Schizosaccharomyces pombe: one gene and its partners. Changing the gene in region 3 together with the main gene of any one other region gives a genetic interaction. Each region holds a gene or a part of one and is shown on either strand. Other genes may lie near its edges. The genes, in order: SPOM_SPCC622.03C, ivn1, ste20 and mso1.

Region 1 (3,777 bases), on a different chromosome or scaffold from region 3:
GATAAAAGGGTGTTCATTTCTTCACTTTCTTCTATTTCTTCGTTTCCTTCGTTCTCCTCTTCGAGCGATGGATAACTGGGAGGAGGTACCTCTTCGGCATAAGGATAATAACCACCGGCATTGAGCGCCATTTCATCTTCTCCCGGTTCCTCAATTTGTCTTTCATCTACAAGTTGAAAACACGGCCACACAAGGAACAGGAACATCACAAGGAATCCAGCCGCCAACACAGTATTCATTCCCAACACCCATCCCGGCACACCAAAACTATAAACGATGGAGCCAACCGCAAACTCCATGAAGCATGGGATTAGCATGTAAAGAGCTCGTTTTGAAAGAATTCCTTGTATATGACAATTCTTTTCAAATGCTTCGAAGTAAGAGTAACGTCGTCGAATTTGCTCGCGAGGGACGGCATGGATGAATACATTATCCACAGTCATCGTAGGAAAAGTGAATTTACAGGAAGGAATTAGGAATAAGTACGTTTCAAAAAGTCAAAGTAAAGTTTTCAGGTATTTTTTATTACAACAACGTCATTCCGATGTGGTTTTCACTATACCCGCTGCTACACTGAGTAAAGAGGGAGGATACTGCGGTTAGCCCAAATGTGGAAAATGTCCTTGAACCCTACCTACCCGAAGCAAGAAATCCGGTGTTGGAAAGCGCTGAAGGAGCGACATTCACAGTTTGATTTTCTTTTCTTTTTTTCTATTCTTGGACATCTGTTTTGATTCTTTTCTTTCTGCTGAACAGTTTCACGATGGCAGCAAATATCTCGAAACTTGAAGCAATTATTGATAATACACCGAATTCTTCCCCAGACCCAGAAGTTTCTCACAAGTTATGGGTGTCCTCTTTAAACAAATTTCAATACACACTTCCTCTTTTGATTAGTAACTTTGCTGGGCTCGGAATTGCGTTCATTTACTGCCTGATCGCTTTCATTCGAGAAATGTCGCATCCTTCATCCAGGAAAGACACAATGGAGCACGGGTTGCCCATAATTTTGTGCTCTACGTTGATGCTTGTTGGAAACATCCTTTACTATTTCTTGTCGAAACATCCGCTTAAAGTCACCGTTCCAGAGGATTTGGTGCAAATTCCTATGCAACAAATGTCCAGTCCCGCTCAAGAAGCACCTTAATTGGCCGTATATTTTGTTTCAATTATGTTTTTGAAGTGCTTGTCTAATATAATAAGGAGAATGCCATAATCGGTGACATTGTGAGCCGAGTTTTTGAGGCAGACATGTAGAATAGATGATAATTTGTATTTTATTAATTAATCTGTGAATGATATATTAAATGAATTGAAGTTCAAAATGAAATATGAAGAGGTGTCGAAAATATAGGAATAGTACAAACCAGTATATCGAACAGTGCTCTAAATTTTGGAAGATGAGTTCGTTCAGGGTCGATGTATTCAACACACTTCCATTTCGCATTACGAGACAAGTTTATGAAACGAATACGTTTTAGATAAAAATAGTATTGAATTATTAAGTTAATTTTTAGATTAGTAGTGACTTAAATGTTGAATAAATATTAAAGGAGTAATAAGATTAAAGGCAGCGGAATGGAAACGAAATATTTTATAACAAAGTGAAACAGGCGTAAAGGAATAGGTGCCCAAAAGCGATATATGAAGGTGTTATTAATACCTCTGATATGGAGAAGAGTTGAATGTATCTTCTCTTGCTTTAAGATTCTCTTGAAAGTCCTCAACTTCACCTCGTCGAATTTCAACTGTCAGTTTACGAGAACCTATAAAGAGCATCGCAAGTACTATGAGTATGAGTAAAGCATTTACGACAGCATCGATCATAGCAATTACTTGAATAGCTGATGGAAAACCTTTAAAGATGAAAGTAAACACAAGAATGAAAAGACGGCAAGACACGATGAAGGAGATAAAAGACATAAACAAAAAGTCATAATTATCAGCTCGTTCCTTACCGGCTTCATACGTTTTCTTTTCAATTAGTTTTTTGTATGTGGCACCTTTAAGTAACGACTGGAGTTCCCATAGTTGAATGGATTTCTTTGGATTCATATTTTTGTGGGAGGCAAAACAGCTAGTTTGAACAAATCCGTTTAAAAACAAGAAAAATTGCGAAAAAATATTAATATGAAATAAAATGCTTAAAAGTCAAAGGATTTCGACAATCGTTGTTAATGAGTAATTGGAGCGCAAGACCAGAGGTTTAACGATTTTGATATTCAACCAATATATTCAATTTCTCTGCCTACACAATCCCGACCTAAATATTCTGTATTATTTGATAAATATTTATTCTTCTTATGCAAAAGCATTTTCATTTTCTGGCCAATATCTGCTAAATTTTGTGTTATATTTATCAACATGACACAACCTGACATTGAAATAGTTATCAAGGAGGATTTTACCTATAGGGAGTGTTCAGATGTTGCGAACGATGTGTTTAAAAAAACTCAATGGCTCTTGTACGTTTTCCTTTTCATAATTTTTGCCAATTGTGTTGTTGATGTTAAGTATTATTTTGAGGGATTTAGTCATTCATTATTATTCGTCTATTTTTTCTTGACTTTAATAATTCTTCTTGTAAGTTTTATGGGATTTCATTATTTGAATAGTATTCCTAAGCCGGAAGCTGAACCTGACTATCGAAAGAAGCAAGAGTCAAAGAATCAGGATTTCCTTAAAAGTCAATCTAATGAACCTTTAGAGTACGCCTCATCCTCTGCAGTTGAACTAGAAAAAGAAAAAAATACGCGAGAGGGCTTAACAATTCTTGAATCTAGTTAATTTTGTATCCATTTGGCATTTGCATCGACCTTGTTTTTGTTTTGTGTTATGTTTATAGGTTTATTATTTATATTCTTCCTTGGTGTGACAATTTTTTTTCTTTAAAACAAAAGAAATTAAAGAATTTGTATTTTATTTATTTTTCCATTTTGAACTACCATATTGAATGTATTCTCAAATTATTAGTATACAGGTGTAATGTCACTCATTTGAATGTAATCAGAAGAAAAGTTATTCTCTTGTTCAAGATCCCTTTGAAACTCCTCAACTTCTCCTCGTCGAATCTCAATTTGAGCTTTCGAGAATTATAGAATAGCAAGCTAACAACTGAGAATGAAATCTACTGTTAAATCTGACACATCTACTTTCACGGTTTTAAGAGACTTAAAGCCATCAGACATAATTGCTATCATAATGAGTAAGCGGAAATCCACGTAGCATAGTCCAGGAAGAAATCCAAACCATAAATAGTTTTCGTGATGTCCCTTTGAAATTTCATCTGATTTTTTCTCAATCAGTTTTTCGTACGCAGTACCTCAATGCAGCGACTGGAATTCGTACAGTTTAATGGATTCACTTGGACTCATCATATATGATACAAGCAAAATAGCCACGTCAACAAAGTTCTTCTAATGTCTGAAAATCAATTCAGTTATCAGATTGAAATATTGCTATCAATTCAAGTCGAATAATAGGAAAATCTTTCTCTGTGGTTGATGATTTAAATATTTAAACCAGACCAGGGGTTTCACAATTTAGTTAAGAGTTACATTTACGGACTTTTCTTTCCACAAACCTCACTTTTTACTGTTTTATTTTTTGAATTTTGCTGGACATTTTTTTAAATAGCTTCCATTTCTTGCTAAACTTGTTTAAGTATTCATTTGTATTCGTTTTAATTGATAGAGGCATTGAACGTTGAGTCGAAATGAAGGAGTTAATCTATAAACCGCGTTCACAATTTTTGCCAATATTTTTACTTGGTCTTTG
Region 2 (3,785 bases), 980 kb from region 3:
AAAGCGCTCCAACAGTCACCCAACACCTCTTTGTCAAAATTACTGTTGGAAGACCAGGATTTTGGAAGCTTGTGGTTGTCATTAAGTTTTATATTTTGTAACTACTGGCAACCTGCTATGCTGATTTTGGATTCTAAAAGCATTCATCCACTACCATTAACCGATGGTGAAGTTTTACATCGATGGGAATGTGAAGTGGATTCGAATAATAAAACTACGATTGATTTGAAGTATTGGTATTGTTCATGCTCTCAATTCTCTTACAATGCTTTTAATAGCTCGAGATCTTTTGACGAGCCAATGCCCAAAAATGAGCAAGAAACCTGGGGTGGAAGATGTCTTTCCCACCACCCTACGATTTGTTCCCATATTTTAGCTGCTTCGATTTTACGTGCTTGCCATAATCTGGTAATTTAAAAAACGTTAACCCAATTCGTTTAATTGTGACTTGACTATGATATTTAACAGTAAGGGCCGTTTAAATTGCTTTCTCAATGTAAAAGAAGAAAATACGATATGATATTCATACAACGTGATTAAAAAAAAATGTCTTATTCAGATTATGTTATGCTTTAGTTATGATGCAAGTTCATGAACCCTGAACTGGTATAAAAAAGAGAATATTGTAAGTGGAAGACGAAGCTAGCATAAGTGATTAAATGGAAAGTAAATTCCAAAATGTTCATGAAGTAGTATATGTAAAAATAAATGGTAAAGATACTCAAATTCGTTTATGAGCTTTTTCCTCTATTCCAAGATAGATATCTTGGATCGCCTACGCGTCTAGGTTTGATCAAGCAAGCAATACTAAGGATTACACCGCTCGCGGCGCAGAGCCCACCGATAACAAAATAAAGAATTCCTAAAAAGTAGTTCTTTCCTCCAATAACGGATGTTGTTGAAAACATAATAGTTTTCGTTCCTTTATATTCTGTGACAGGAAAGTTATAAGTGATATTCATTTCATAAATGCCAGGTTGAAGTGCAGTAGTAACGTTTCGAAGAGCAAGTTTGCTGAATGTTGGAAGAGCAGCAGCTCTCATCCAAATTTGAAAGGCATCCCATGTAGAAACATCGGGAATATTGTCGTCAGTATATCCATTGGGAAACATTTTTGCCCAATTTGGAGGTGGAACAATTTGGGAAGCATTGTACTTAGTTTTTTTGTATCTTTCTCTATCTTCCGGCCACGCAGTACCATTTGTAGTCATATTGTAAAGTCCAAGGGAATTTGAGCTATCAAAGGATTCGTATCGTAGAAGAGAAGAATAGCTATCGTTGAAAAGCGAGTTTGCGATAATGCCACAGGGGTAATAAGGTTTCCCTTCCTCATTTGCTTCTAACGGCTTGCAGAAACCATAGCTCTTCAGTTGTGCAACAGTTCGTGCTTCGCCTAGCAACTGAAACATATCGGCGCTAACAGTATATCGACGATGGTTTTGATAAAAATTTTTGAGACGATAAAAAGCAAACACGGGACTCGTCATTTCCTCAGGTATTTGGAAACGAAGAGTACATACATCGCCTGATGATTTCCACATCGCTGTTACATTTTTTACATTTTTATATTGGAACTCAATATTCGTGGAAGGAACTTGTTTAAACTCATCGCCTATATTCATGCAATCAGTATAGTCAATTCGCAGCTCTTTGACCTAATAAAATGTTGATTAGCAAATGATCTAGAAAAAATGATATTTTCGGTAACGTTCGGGCTACACGTGTGCTAACACCGACAAAGGATAAGGCTATAATCAGATAAAAATTATTCGCAAATAATCATATCTTTCCAAAATACAGTAATGTATTGCAAAATATACCCAGTTTATCAATTTGAAACATATAGCTCTATGGAAACGCGTGATGCTTAGACTTACCCGTCGACTGGCCACAAACATGCCAGCTCCCAAAGGAGCAAACACTATGCCTAATAAGAATAATAACGGCAAGACTGTCCATGGTGTGAATATAAACTGCCAAGCAGGAAGTGTTTGCTGAACAAACCGAGATTTGTCACTACATACGGATCAGTAAACCAATTTGCCAAAAAACGAATGTAATCAAGACAACTTACGGGCGCTTAAATCTCTTATGCTTTGGTTTTTTAACTATTTCTGTTTGACTCATAGTATATAATCAGGCATTCAACAATGCTTACGAATATGAAGAATGCAAGATTAACTTGGTCCTTGGTAAAAGTGCGAGACTGCGCAAAACTCCATCATCACCTTACTCTCTCGCTGTCACTTGGGTTAGCAGGTTATATGACACAATTTATATGTAAACACAGAGAAAAAAGCATTGATTACAAAAGATATCAAAGTTATTTCATAGTAAATAACTCGTATAGTATTGATTTCCTAAAAGCATTTTTTTTTTGGGTGAAATTTTGAATGACTTATTAAGTTCATTGCTTATAATCGTATATGAAATCGCTAATAGCAGCTGCAGTGAATCAATAAAAAACCTTTCTTATTTTTAATTATGTTAATTATAATTTTTTTGTAGCCGTTTATACACAGTATTCTTGAAAAGATTATTTCAGCCGATGGATTAATGAAATAAATAGCAATTTTCCATGCGGTGAAAAAGGAAATCAAATAATATACCCGCTTGTATTCAAGGTTTTTATAAATCAAATCAGTGGAATATTCACCATCATCAGAAAAAGTTTTTTTAAATAATGAATGACATTCACAAGACACAGGATTCACCGCCGTACCCTTTTTATCCATAAAATTAGAATCATATCATTTTGCTCTTCATGATTTAGTTTATGTTGTTAGAAGGGGGTTTCCAGCGTGGTGATTCAATTTTTATTCTAAGCTTTATAAAGTTTTGTTCGGCGGTTTTCAAAGTAATGTTTAAGAGTGATGAACTTATCCGCTTCTTCACTTCTTTGAGACTTTCAATTACCTGTATAATATCTGTAGATTTGTAGAAACAGCTAAGTATCGCTATATGAATATTGATTACTTACATTGCTCAAGTAGTTTCGTTATAATGTAATGTAATAGATAACAAATTTAAAAAAAAACTGCCTATAAGAATCACTGTATAGCTGAATATTAGTTTAAGAAATTAAGCATACTAGTGGCACCTTTCACCACGAATAGCTCCATGACTGCTGCTAGCATCAAACTTCTCCAACCTTCTTATCGATCTTAACCACTATAATTATCTCACCATCATACGCGGAATTTCATTTATTTGATCAATTGCTTTTTCATTTGCAAAAGGCCAACTATCTAGAAGTATTCTTTCTCTTTCCATTTGTTGTTACCATTACTTCTTGCGTACAGAGCAGATAGAAGTATTAGAATTCATTTATTTTTTGTTAACTGTCTTTTTTACCAAAAAAATTATTTTTTAAGATATTCCCTTCATTCCAAACTTTTCTCTCAATTTATACTCAACATATTTCTTAAATTCCATTATGGCTTATCAAACTCGTGAAGGTCTCCCTAATGGCTGGGTCGCTCAGTGGGATGAACGCTACAAGTGTTACTTTTATGTTAATGAAAGTGATCCCAAAGCAAAGCCGCAATGGGAATGTCCGGTCCGTGGTTTAACTATTCCACCACCTCCTTCGGTGGACCACTCTGCTCCCCCAAGTGGACCGCCTCCTTCTTATTCCAACTCAGCCGCTCCTGCCACTCCTGCCGCTTCTGCTTCTTCTGCTGCTCCTGCTCCTGCTCCCGCAGCTTCCCAAAACAGAGCATACGGGGCCGCTCCACAGCCTTATCCCCCTCAGGGCGGTTATCCTCAACAACCATATTATTATC
Region 3 (7,143 bases):
GCTTTGAACATGGATCTAGGTCTTCTACATGAAAATATTACTCTTGACAGAATTCCCAAAGTTCCCGAGAATCATGTCTCTTTGATTGATATCGATGAGGCTCGTGCCAAAGAAGACCCCAACTTTCAAATTCATTCAACTCCTTCTAGAATGCCTCCTCACTATGTTCAACCACACCCTCCGTTCAGTGTCTTTCCCGCCCCTATACTAGACGTTCGTGAGCTCACTAAACCAGGTGCTGTCAAACGTGTGTTCCATTTTGAACTAGACGTTTCCAACTATCCCCTTCCTGAAGGCGAAGAGTGGATGGTTGGAGGGTCGTTTGGTGTAATGGCTCCCAACAACGAAGAGGATGTGGATGAGCTTTTACAATTACTTCATATCAATCCCGACCAGGCAGATGCCCCTGTCCTTTTAAAAACCGATGGAGGTCGTTGGCCCACCATCTGGGCAGAAGACACACCTAGAGAACTCGTTACAACCAGGCGTGAGCTTCTTAAATGGACCGTGGAGTTTATGTCTGTCGCCCCAAAAAAGCAGCTTATTCGGTTACTTGCCGAATACGCCAAGGATGATACCGAGCGGCAAGTTTTGTTGTTTTTGGTCAGTCGTTTGGGACAACGTGCTTTCTGTGATTTAAGGGACCACAACGTTACACTTATCACTCTGCTAAAGGCTTTCCCTAGTGTTCAACTTCCTCTTGATCACCTTTTAACCGTGCTTCCCCAGCTTATGCCTAGATGGTATTCTTTGTCAAACGATCCCAAGGTCAGTAATAATGTATTGGAATTTGCGGTTACAGTTGTTGAAATCAATAAAGTTGAAGGAGGCACTCGTTCTGGTATTGGTTCTGGTTTTTTGAAAAGATTGGCATTGAGATTTTTAAATGGTGAACGAGATCTCGTCCTTCCAATGTACCGCGGTCTGCACAAAAACGCATTTGCCACACATTTTGCTTCTGATGGCCCTATGTGCCTAATCGGTGCCGGTGTAGGTGTTGCTCCCTTTAGAGGTTTTGTGCAACGACGTCTTACAAATGCCACTTGTGCTGGTAAAGTTTGGGTTTTCCATGGATGCCGCGACCAAGAATTGGATGAGCTCTATCATGGTGAGTGGGAAAACCCGCTTCAAAAGTCTTCAGACGATGATGCATCTTCTACAGTCAGCCAACAAACCGAAACTGAAATGGATTCCTTCGAAGTTAAAAAAGACGGTACTAGTGGCCCCAACCATCTTGTTGTTGAATCACGTTCTCACCAACATGCCTATGTACAGGACGAGATTCGACACCGTGGTGACATTGTATGGAGTGTTCTTAGTCATCCTCATGGGAAGGTTTATCTTTGTGGTGGTAAAAAGGGATTTTTAGATGGTGTTGAAAATGCCTTGATTGATGTTTGCGTTCAATACGGAAAAATGAGCAGGCTGGAAGCTACCCAACAACTTGCTCTTTGGCAAAGTCCACTTAACCTTAAATACATAAAGGAGATTTGGTAAATGAATGAAGTTGTTTATCCACGTTACCAATATTTATTTTTTCGTTAAAATTTTTTTTTTGTTTACTATCTTTTCACATTATTTTCGATTCTTTTCTGTCTTTTTTATTATCGTTTCGTTTTAAAAAAATCTTTTTTGAAATGTTTCGAAAGCAATATTTGTATCTCAAAATGGCATTTTAATTCTATATTGGCTTGGGCATATCTGTTAAAACATTTTTTGTTTAGCCTTTTGTTTCCATAAATAAAAATATAAACAAATTTTAATAGTTGATTGTAGTAATATAATTTACTCATCTTATTCTCTTGCTTTGATTTATCCTTCATGTTTTCGTATACTGTTAACTAGCAATCTTGAGACTGTAAAGTAAACATTAAGGATTCGATTCTTTAGTGAACCAGTACCTAGTATCTAATTATTTATTAGCGAATTCTAAGGAAATTTGTTTTGCCCATTAATAGCGAAACATCACTCCATGTCGTACAATCGTTAACGCCGGTAACAGAACTCCGATTAAGTTCAGCCGTTGGGGTATCCATGAGCATACGAGCATAGTTCGCAAGCATTATCATTTTAGGACTCTTCACAATCTTAAGTTATTATTTAAGTGTTAATATCTTTAATTTTACTAGATTGCTTAAAAATTGAGAGTTTGACTAGCCCAGTAAGCAATCGCGTGTTGCACGCAATAAGTATTAGTACGAAAACATACTATCCCTTTATAAGGCTATTTCATGAAGGCGCTTATGGAAGGAGATAGCTTTTTTATTCCTGCTTTTAATGATCAGTGCTCATGAAACCTGTGCGAAGGGGACAAACCGATACTGCTTTGGATATAAGTTCCCATGCCAAAACTAATGGTGACTTTATCAAAAAAATGAATACCACTGATTCAAAAAGGCTCAAGTTACTTGAGGATTTGAAGGGAAAGCTCGAAGTTGAGTGCAAAATACGGGATGGCGCTGAAACGTTGCTGCAAGTCTTCGACACCAATTTTAAAAAAGAAACAAAAGAACGTAAAGAAATGTTAAAAAAGAAATGTACCGATGAGCTCGAATCATCTAAAAAAAAGATAGAGGAATTAGTTTCTAGCATTGAATCTTTCCAAGGAGAAAATGGTGAAGCAAAAACTGGCTCAACCAGTCTCACGAGGTCTGCTTCTGCGACTGTCAGTCGAAAGAGCTCATTGCAGGAAAAGTATAGTACGAGATTTTCTTACAAAGCAGGATGTAGCGATAGTTGCAGTGTTACAGTCAGTGGGACTGGTGAATTAATAGGTCCTACCAGAAATGCGCATAGCAATTTAACTCCTACCGTCATTCAAAGAATTGACTTTGAAAATGTCAACGAAAAAAATAATTCTTCTTCTGAAGATACTCAACCTAACGGAAAACGTCCTTCTAGTTTGCAATCGAATTTCTCACAATTTCCATTAAATCCTTGGCTTGATAATATATATAAGGCTTGTCTTGAAGGCAGTATGAAGGATGTAATCGATTCCTCAAATAATTTATGTGAATACTTACATGAACATTCTGATCCCGCTTATGCAAAAAACTTCTCCTTGATTACTCCGACCATACTTTCAATGCTCGAGTTGAATGTCTCTGAAGTTACGGCTTCTGTTTATAGACTACTAAGGCATTTGTTTCTTGACGCAACAGCATTCTCTTGTTGTCAAATGTTGAATTTACCTTGGATCTTGTCAAAGTCTCTACTTTCTGGTACCGATGCATATCAAATTGAACGAGAGCAAGCATTCCGACTAATCCGAACTCTTTATTTTCTTTCATCAACTGAAGGACATGAGGATTATCTTTCAGGTATTACGAGGACTATCATTTCAATTTGTGAGCATGTATCAGATGTTAGTCGTGGAATTGCTGTTGAAACTCTTATCGAGTTAATGATTATTCGACCAAAAATTTTATTTAAAGCTAATGGTTTAAGGGTTTTAATGATCTCCCTAATCGATGGAAGTATTTCTGAGAATTTAGCAGCTAGTGCTGCACTTGCATTAGTATATCTTTTGGATGATCCTGAAAGCGCTTGTTACGTAAATTTACCCTACGATATTGGCATTTTACTTTCACCTTTTACTAGTTCTTCTTCGCGAGATACATTTAATTCCTCTGAGGAACAGTCTGAACAAGCTGCAAAAGCCATGAAATCTTCCGCCAAAGTTGCCTCTGTTTTGCTTAATTCATGGTCTGGATTATTGGCTTTGTCTACCAATGATTTTCAGGCTCTTCGGTCGATTGTTGATACACTTCGGGTTCCATCCTTTGCTCCACGAAGCGATGTAATTGATCTTTTCTTTTTAATTTTCCAAGTTGAGTATTCAAGTTGGTCAGAGTCTTTTTTGGCCGGAAAACGATTAACAGTCGTTAAAAATCAGGCTGTATCTAATGATGATAACATAAACATGGTTAATATACCGGATGGTTCCAACAAAAAGTACATGTCGCTACGCCAACATTTTACAGCCGTCTTATTATTTATATTTTTGGAGCTCGGTTTGGTTGAATCTATTGTATGTATGATTAGGGCCAGCGATGACCCATCAGCCTCACGTAAAGCTACATATCTTCTAGGAGAGGTATTGAGGCTGTCTGATGAGCTACTGCCGATTCATTTAGGAGCCAAAATACAATCCTTGCCATCTTTATTTAATATGGCTTCTCAATTTACTGCCGAAGACAGGTTTGTTGCCACTTCTGTTCTTCAATCCATTGAAAGTTTGAATAGAGTTAAATTCCATTCTGCAACACAACCTTTCTCGCAGACAACCTCTCTTCTTTTTAAGGAGCAAAAAACTGATGGATCTTTTCGGGGGCAAAGACAGGTTGAGCATGTTAAATTGAAAATGGGCATGCAGATTGATGATTCACATTTTCGTAGTATGCTAGCTGAAACCAACGTGTTAGCTACAAAAAACTATCAAAAATGGCGATGGGATACACTTGTCCAAATTATGGAGGGTCCATTGCTAAGTCCGAAACGTATTGATGAAACTTTGCGAACCACAAAATTTATGAGACGGCTTTTAGCATTTTATAAACCCTTTTCCAACAGATTTTCTTCCATACAAAACACTAAACCAAATCAAAAATTTATAAAGGTTGGTTGTCTTGTTTTCAGGACTTTACTAGCCAATCCGGAAGGCGTTAAATATCTTTCTGAAAGCAAAGTGATTAAACAAATAGCAGAATCTCTTAGCCAGATAGACGGATATTCAGAACAGGTTTCTGAGCCGATTTTCTCGAACAGTAGGCTTCAGAAAACCCTCACCCACGGTTACTTTCCTATGTTAAAAGTATTGTCAAGCCAAAAGGAAGGTCATGCAATTATGGAACGATGGAGGATTTTTACTACACTTTACCATTTGACAGAATTGAGGAACAGAGACGATCTCATAATTATTTTTCTGACTAATCTTGATTATCGGCTAGAGGGGCACACACGAATTATATTTTCTAAGGCGCTTAATACCGGGCAACAGGCTGTACGCTTAACTGCAACCAAGCATCTTGCGGCTTTAATCAATTCTGAGTCTGCCAATGACAACTTAAATCACTGGGCAATTTCTCTATTGATATTTCAACTGTACGATCCTTGCTTGGAAGTATGTAAAACAGCAGTGAAGGTGTTGAATGAAGTTTGTGCTCGAAATGAAAACTTGCTGGCTCAAGTTGTTCAGCTTCAACCTTCATTGGCCCATTTGGGTGAAATTGGCTCACCTTTACTTTTACGTTTTCTTGCTACAACTGTCGGATTTCATTACCTTTCTGAAATTAATTTTATTGAACATGAACTCGATAATTGGTACCATCATCGAAATATAGATTACGTGGATTTATTGGAGCAAAATTTTTTCCTTTCTTTTGTTTCAAATCTCAAAATTATTGACAAGAAAAACAATGAACCAGATGAAAATATACTTCCCCTACACTTTTATGGCGAATTAGTCAAATCTCCACAAGGTTGTGAGGTTCTCGAGTCTTCTGGGCATTTTGAATCTTTTATGGGTACCTTGGTGGAATTTTACGATAAACCGTTAGGAAATGAAGCCATCAGGCAGTTAAAGAGTGCTCTTTGGGCTATAGGAAACATTGGAAAAACCGATCAGGGTATTACGTTTTTAATTAACCATGATACGATACCGTTGATTGTCAAATATGCCGAAAATTCATTGATTCCTACTGTTCGAGGAACTGCTTATTTTGTATTAGGCTTGATTTCCAGGACTTCTAAAGGCGTTGAGATACTCGAATCACTGCATTGGTATAGCCTTATGTCTTTAATGGGCACTTCACAAGGAATTTGCATTCCGAGACATGCTGGACAAGTATTATCAACTCCAAGGAGAAATGTTGAGTTTGTAAATGAGCGCGTGCCAACTCCTGAGTTTTCTTCATTACTTAGCTCTTTAACTAACTCAGAGAGAGAGGTAATTAGGCTCGTTTCCAATTTGTCAAACCATGTTTTAACAAACGAGTCAGCACGGCAACTAACAAAGATTCGTTCGAAAAATGCTAAAGTTTTCTCCTCTAAACGTTTGGTGAAAGCTTGTATGACCATTCTGGGAAAATTCCATTACCGTGTTCAGATTCAACAATTTGTATTTGAATTATTTCCTTACTCGGTTTTATTGTCTTCCTCAACCTCACAGGACTTAAATGAATCCCCGTCCAGGCCGAATAATTTGTCAATTTCCGCATGAACTCCAAATTTCCGAACCTTCACTTTTCTAAAATTTTTGTAAATTAATGATTTTTATGATTTCTTATTATCGTTTTTCTTCTGTTATTCAATAAGTTTGATCTTTAGTTTTCTGCTTATTCTTTGACCTTCCCTCTTTGTTTCTTTTCATAAGTTTATTTACTAAGTTAGACTAGTGTTTACATAAAAGGTGATTGCGCTAGGGTTAGTAATGAGTTTATAATTGTTTTTGGATGTTTAAATTATTAATCTAATATTTATAAGACATGTCTGATACTTGCGGATATTTTTTTGAATTTGTGTAGTTTAGGTAGGCCTGCTTAGCCCCTGGCCTCCATACGATAGTAATATGAACAAGAATATATTGCCTTTCATCTTTTCGTGCTAATTTTTACTTTGTACGCTGTTATTATCAATATAAAAATTGCGTACCACAAAGGTGTACTTATATGTAATACCCATGCTTAGCAAGTTATGCTCAACTTCCACATACAACGTATGCAACGAACGGCAGCCTCATGTTATAGTAAATTAGCAAATCCTATATAACTAAACGAAAGTGTATTTGCTTAACATATCGTGGAGTTTGGGCATATTTCTGCTCACAAGTAAATCTCATACAACATCGCATTTGGTTTTAATTTGTTTTGGTTGTTCGCAAGGAAGAAGATTATTCTTTAAAAAAAAGGAAATAAATTTATAAATATAATTTGAAAAAAAATATATATATATATATTTGGGTTTTTACACTCTTTTGACTACATAACTCGATAGGTTTTCGGATTTGTTTAATAGACAAAAGAAGGAAGTACGTTTAAGGGTTTATTTCTATGGAACATTATTGATTTTTTTTTTTTCTTGCTATGTACAATGTGACATACAGGTTACTTCGTCTAAGCTTGATTTCTTCTCATTCTTTAAGAA
Region 4 (3,441 bases), on a different chromosome or scaffold from region 3:
TTAGCGAGTAAGGGTTGGGATGGCTTAAATGATCTAAGATAATACGTATACTTGCGAACAAGTAAGTTGAAAGGAAATGAAACTTCGATATATCTAATATTATAATGGTTAAATTGCGTTATAGCGTATTAAATTTTATTTTTAGGATAATCGAAATTCTCGTCTTGTAAGTCTAGTCTGCATTTGGATGCGGTTTCTGGTTGCTTAAAACGTTGTTCAATGAGAAAATACATTCGTGAAGATCATTTTTACTTACAAAGCATTCGTAACATATTTTGTTGTCACGTTGAGCTAAATATAACCAGAAATTTGCAAATAAACGAGAATCACAAGAACGAATCCATTGGTGCTTTTATTTACATACCATATTAAATTACAATAACGAATTTTCACAATTCGTCCCTAAGTGTTCGAGTTAGAAATTAAAGAAACCTATACGATGCGCTGTATGTAACGATAAGTTTTTATAATGTTGAATTGATTTCAGCTACTAGCTTTAATTCTACCAAGCGCTTTTTGAACAGTTTAATTTTTAAAGCTACAATCCGGTTAGAAACATAAAGAACATGTGATGGTTATTTAATTAGACTAAATGATAGTTCTCAAACTAAAGGCGAGTTGCTTAGGATAGTGCACCTTATTGTCAGGTCATTCCAAAAATAATTACTAAAGGAAAAACCAGAAAAGGTGAGCTAACTCAAAGTTGTAAAATAAGTAATTATGCCTCTGTACTGACAAATGTCGAACTTCTGGGTAAGATGGGCTTAGTTATTAACAAACGAGGTTGAGAATAACACATACGTAGTAACAGCATTTTCAAAGAAACAAAAAGTCGTTTTGATCATTAATACGCCATTAACAGATACCAATGAGAGTAAAGTAAAGGTATCGTTGTGTCAACTAAAACTTCTTTCTAGTGTGATCAAATTTTGACCGTAGCAATGAGCCGGAAGGTGTAGAGGAAAGAGGTTTCGTGGTGGAAGGTGATTTTTGAAGACTTCCGACACCTTCAAACAAATCGTCAAAGGTACTATGTTGAACAGAAGGTAATCGTCGTAAAGGGGGAGACGAAGCAGAGGAAGTGGAGGACGATAGCCTCCTAGGATTGGCCGGAATATATGAAGCTTTTAAATTTGAAGGAGCCGCATTACTTGCATTTATGCTAACTGGGGAAGTAGGTCCTGTGTTAACTGGAGGCTGCCATCCAGGAGGACGAAGCCATTCAGGTAATGTCCCAATTTTGTCCATATAGTATTTTCTCATTACACGAGCAACGTGAGTATCTTCAATCGTATTATCGCTTTCAGGGTCGCGAATACGATTAATTTTTGAAGAAATCGATAACTTTGACCACATGATGAATCGAGAGTTCGCGTTTCTTTATGTACTACTTAATCTCTAAATTTTAAAGAACCTTGGCATTTGAATTCAAAAAATTTCAATAAAAGTAATTAATAAAAAAGTTTAGCCATTATTATGATGCCAAGAACGGCTTAATATCTGGCGACGCGGATTTCATAAAGACGCCAACTCGCTAAACTGTCTAAAGTGATTAATAACACGACCATGAACTACATTATATGTTTTAACGAATGTAAAATCAGCACATAAATAGATAATTTTATTGCAAATGTCCAATTGATTAATATCTTACAAATAAAAATAATTTGTGGGTGGATTTAAACATTTAATTTAGATACTCTCGAAGATGATGCATGAAATCGGCTAAAAAAAAGAATGAACGATGAAAAGCTTGGTAAACAAAATCAATACTGAGCAATCTTACTATGTAGTAGCTAATTAAGGTATACATAATTTCTAAATGGACTACGAAAATGTAGTTTTAAAATAGTTAGGTAAGTTTTAATTTTACTACTTGTAGTCTTCCAAAAATCATAAACTAGTATCTACAATAAAAATTTCTTTAAATTAAATATATGTCGGTGAAAAAGAGCCTCGCCCTTAATATGTATTCACTACGAAAACTAAATAAGGATATCGTATATATTAGTTGTTCTGCGTTCACAAAGCTGAGTGCATTTTTGGAGTTGAGCCATCATACTCTCACGCTTAACAACACCCCACTGTGTAATCTATCTACCTCCAAGAAAGGGCTGTCTTCGCTATATCGTTGATTTTGAAAACTTTTCGGAATTTTGATGAAGCGCTCCGTGCTCACAATTATTTTATTTTTTTCCTGTCAATTTTGGCATGCTTTTGCTTCATCAGTATTAGCAATTGATTACGGCACAGAATGGACTAAAGCGGCCCTCATTAAGCCTGGAATTCCTCTTGAAATTGTATTGACGAAAGACACTAGACGTAAGGAACAAAGTGCCGTTGCTTTTAAAGGCAATGAACGTATTTTTGGTGTTGATGCTTCCAACTTGGCTACCAGGTTTCCTGCTCATTCCATTCGTAATGTTAAGGAGCTTCTTGATACAGCTGGTCTTGAATCTGTCTTAGTACAGAAATATCAAAGTTCTTATCCTGCAATTCAATTAGTCGAGAATGAAGAAACTACTTCTGGTATATCCTTTGTAATCTCTGACGAGGAAAATTACTCTTTGGAAGAAATTATTGCCATGACCATGGAACATTATATATCACTGGCTGAAGAAATGGCACATGAAAAAATTACTGATTTGGTGTTGACTGTTCCACCTCATTTCAATGAACTTCAACGCTCAATTCTTCTTGAAGCGGCACGTATTCTCAACAAACATGTTTTGGCCCTCATTGATGATAATGTGGCTGTTGCCATAGAGTATTCACTCTCTCGTAGTTTTTCGACTGATCCCACTTACAACATCATTTACGACTCAGGCTCTGGCTCCACTTCAGCAACGGTAATATCTTTTGATACGGTAGAGGGATCTTCACTAGGTAAAAAGCAAAACATCACACGTATTCGTGCTTTGGCAAGTGGATTTACGTTGAAGCTTTCTGGGAATGAAATCAATAGAAAGCTGATTGGTTTTATGAAAAATTCATTTTATCAGAAACATGGCATAGATTTATCTCACAATCATCGTGCTCTAGCACGCCTTGAGAAAGAAGCATTGCGCGTTAAGCATATATTATCTGCTAATTCAGAGGCCATTGCTTCTATTGAAGAGTTAGCTGACGGTATCGATTTTCGACTGAAAATAACTCGATCAGTCTTAGAATCGCTTTGTAAGGATATGGAAGATGCAGCTGTAGAGCCTATTAATAAAGCACTTAAAAAAGCAAATCTCACATTTTCCGAAATTAACTCTATTATCTTGTTTGGAGGAGCCTCTCGTATTCCATTTATCCAATCTACTCTTGCTGATTATGTTTCTTCTGATAAAATATCAAAGAACGTGAATGCTGACGAAGCGTCTGTGAAAGGAGCTGCATTCTATGGTGCTTCTTTAACTAAAAGCTTCCGTGTAAAGCCTTTAATTGTTCAAGATA

The links.
Region 1: mutations in ste20 (region 3) and SPOM_SPCC622.03C together harm fitness more than expected from each alone (negative genetic interaction), as found in Schizosaccharomyces pombe (one large-scale study listed by BioGRID).
Region 2: mutations in ste20 (region 3) and ivn1 together harm fitness more than expected from each alone (negative genetic interaction), as found in Schizosaccharomyces pombe (one large-scale study listed by BioGRID).
Region 4: mutations in ste20 (region 3) and mso1 together harm fitness more than expected from each alone (negative genetic interaction), as found in Schizosaccharomyces pombe (one large-scale study listed by BioGRID).

Annotation. Positions count from the first base shown.
Region 1 is NC_003421.2:1,404,313-1,408,089, forward strand, and holds SPOM_SPCC622.03C (uncharacterized protein), read right to left. Parts: upstream 2,056-3,777; coding exon 1,657-2,055; 3' UTR 1,148-1,656; coding exon of another isoform or gene 764-1,147; 3' UTR 555-763; downstream 1-554. Other genes in the region: SPOM_SPCC622.01C (uncharacterized protein), read right to left, coding at 1-443; SPOM_SPCC622.02 (uncharacterized protein), read left to right, coding at 764-1,147; SPOM_SPCC622.04 (uncharacterized protein), read left to right, coding at 2,365-2,787.
Region 2 is NC_003423.3:1,495,365-1,499,149, forward strand, and holds ivn1 (aminophospholipid translocase regulatory protein Ivn1), read right to left. Parts: upstream 2,192-3,785; 5' UTR 2,128-2,191; coding exon 2,075-2,127; exon of another isoform or gene 2,017-2,074; coding exon 1,878-2,016; exon of another isoform or gene 1,733-1,877; intron 1,656-1,732; coding exon 732-1,655; 3' UTR 560-731; downstream 1-559. Other genes in the region: sws1 (SWIM domain-containing Srs2-interacting protein 1), read left to right, coding at 1-417; protein wwm1, read left to right, coding at 3,437-3,785. UniProt on the Schizosaccharomyces pombe protein: Accessory component of a P4-ATPase flippase complex which catalyzes the hydrolysis of ATP coupled to the transport of aminophospholipids from the lumenal to the cytosolic leaflet of membranes and ensures the maintenance of asymmetric distribution of phospholipids.
Region 3 is NC_003423.3:2,473,849-2,480,991, forward strand, and holds ste20 (target of rapamycin complex 2 subunit ste20), read left to right. Parts: upstream 1-2,030; 5' UTR 2,031-2,290; coding exon 2,291-6,220; 3' UTR 6,221-6,614; downstream 6,615-7,143. Other genes in the region: SPOM_SPBC12C2.03C (methionine synthase reductase), read left to right, coding at 1-1,497; SPOM_SPBC12C2.01C (uncharacterized protein), read left to right, coding at 7,083-7,143. UniProt on the Schizosaccharomyces pombe protein: Component of TORC2, which regulates multiple cellular processes to control cell growth in response to environmental signals. TORC2 is required for cell survival under various stress conditions.
Region 4 is NC_003424.3:279,864-283,304, reverse strand, and holds mso1 (exocytic docking protein Mso1), read right to left. Parts: upstream 1,485-3,441; 5' UTR 1,357-1,484; coding exon 901-1,356; 3' UTR 560-900; downstream 1-559. Other genes in the region: lsh1 (protein Lhs1), read left to right, coding at 2,160-3,441.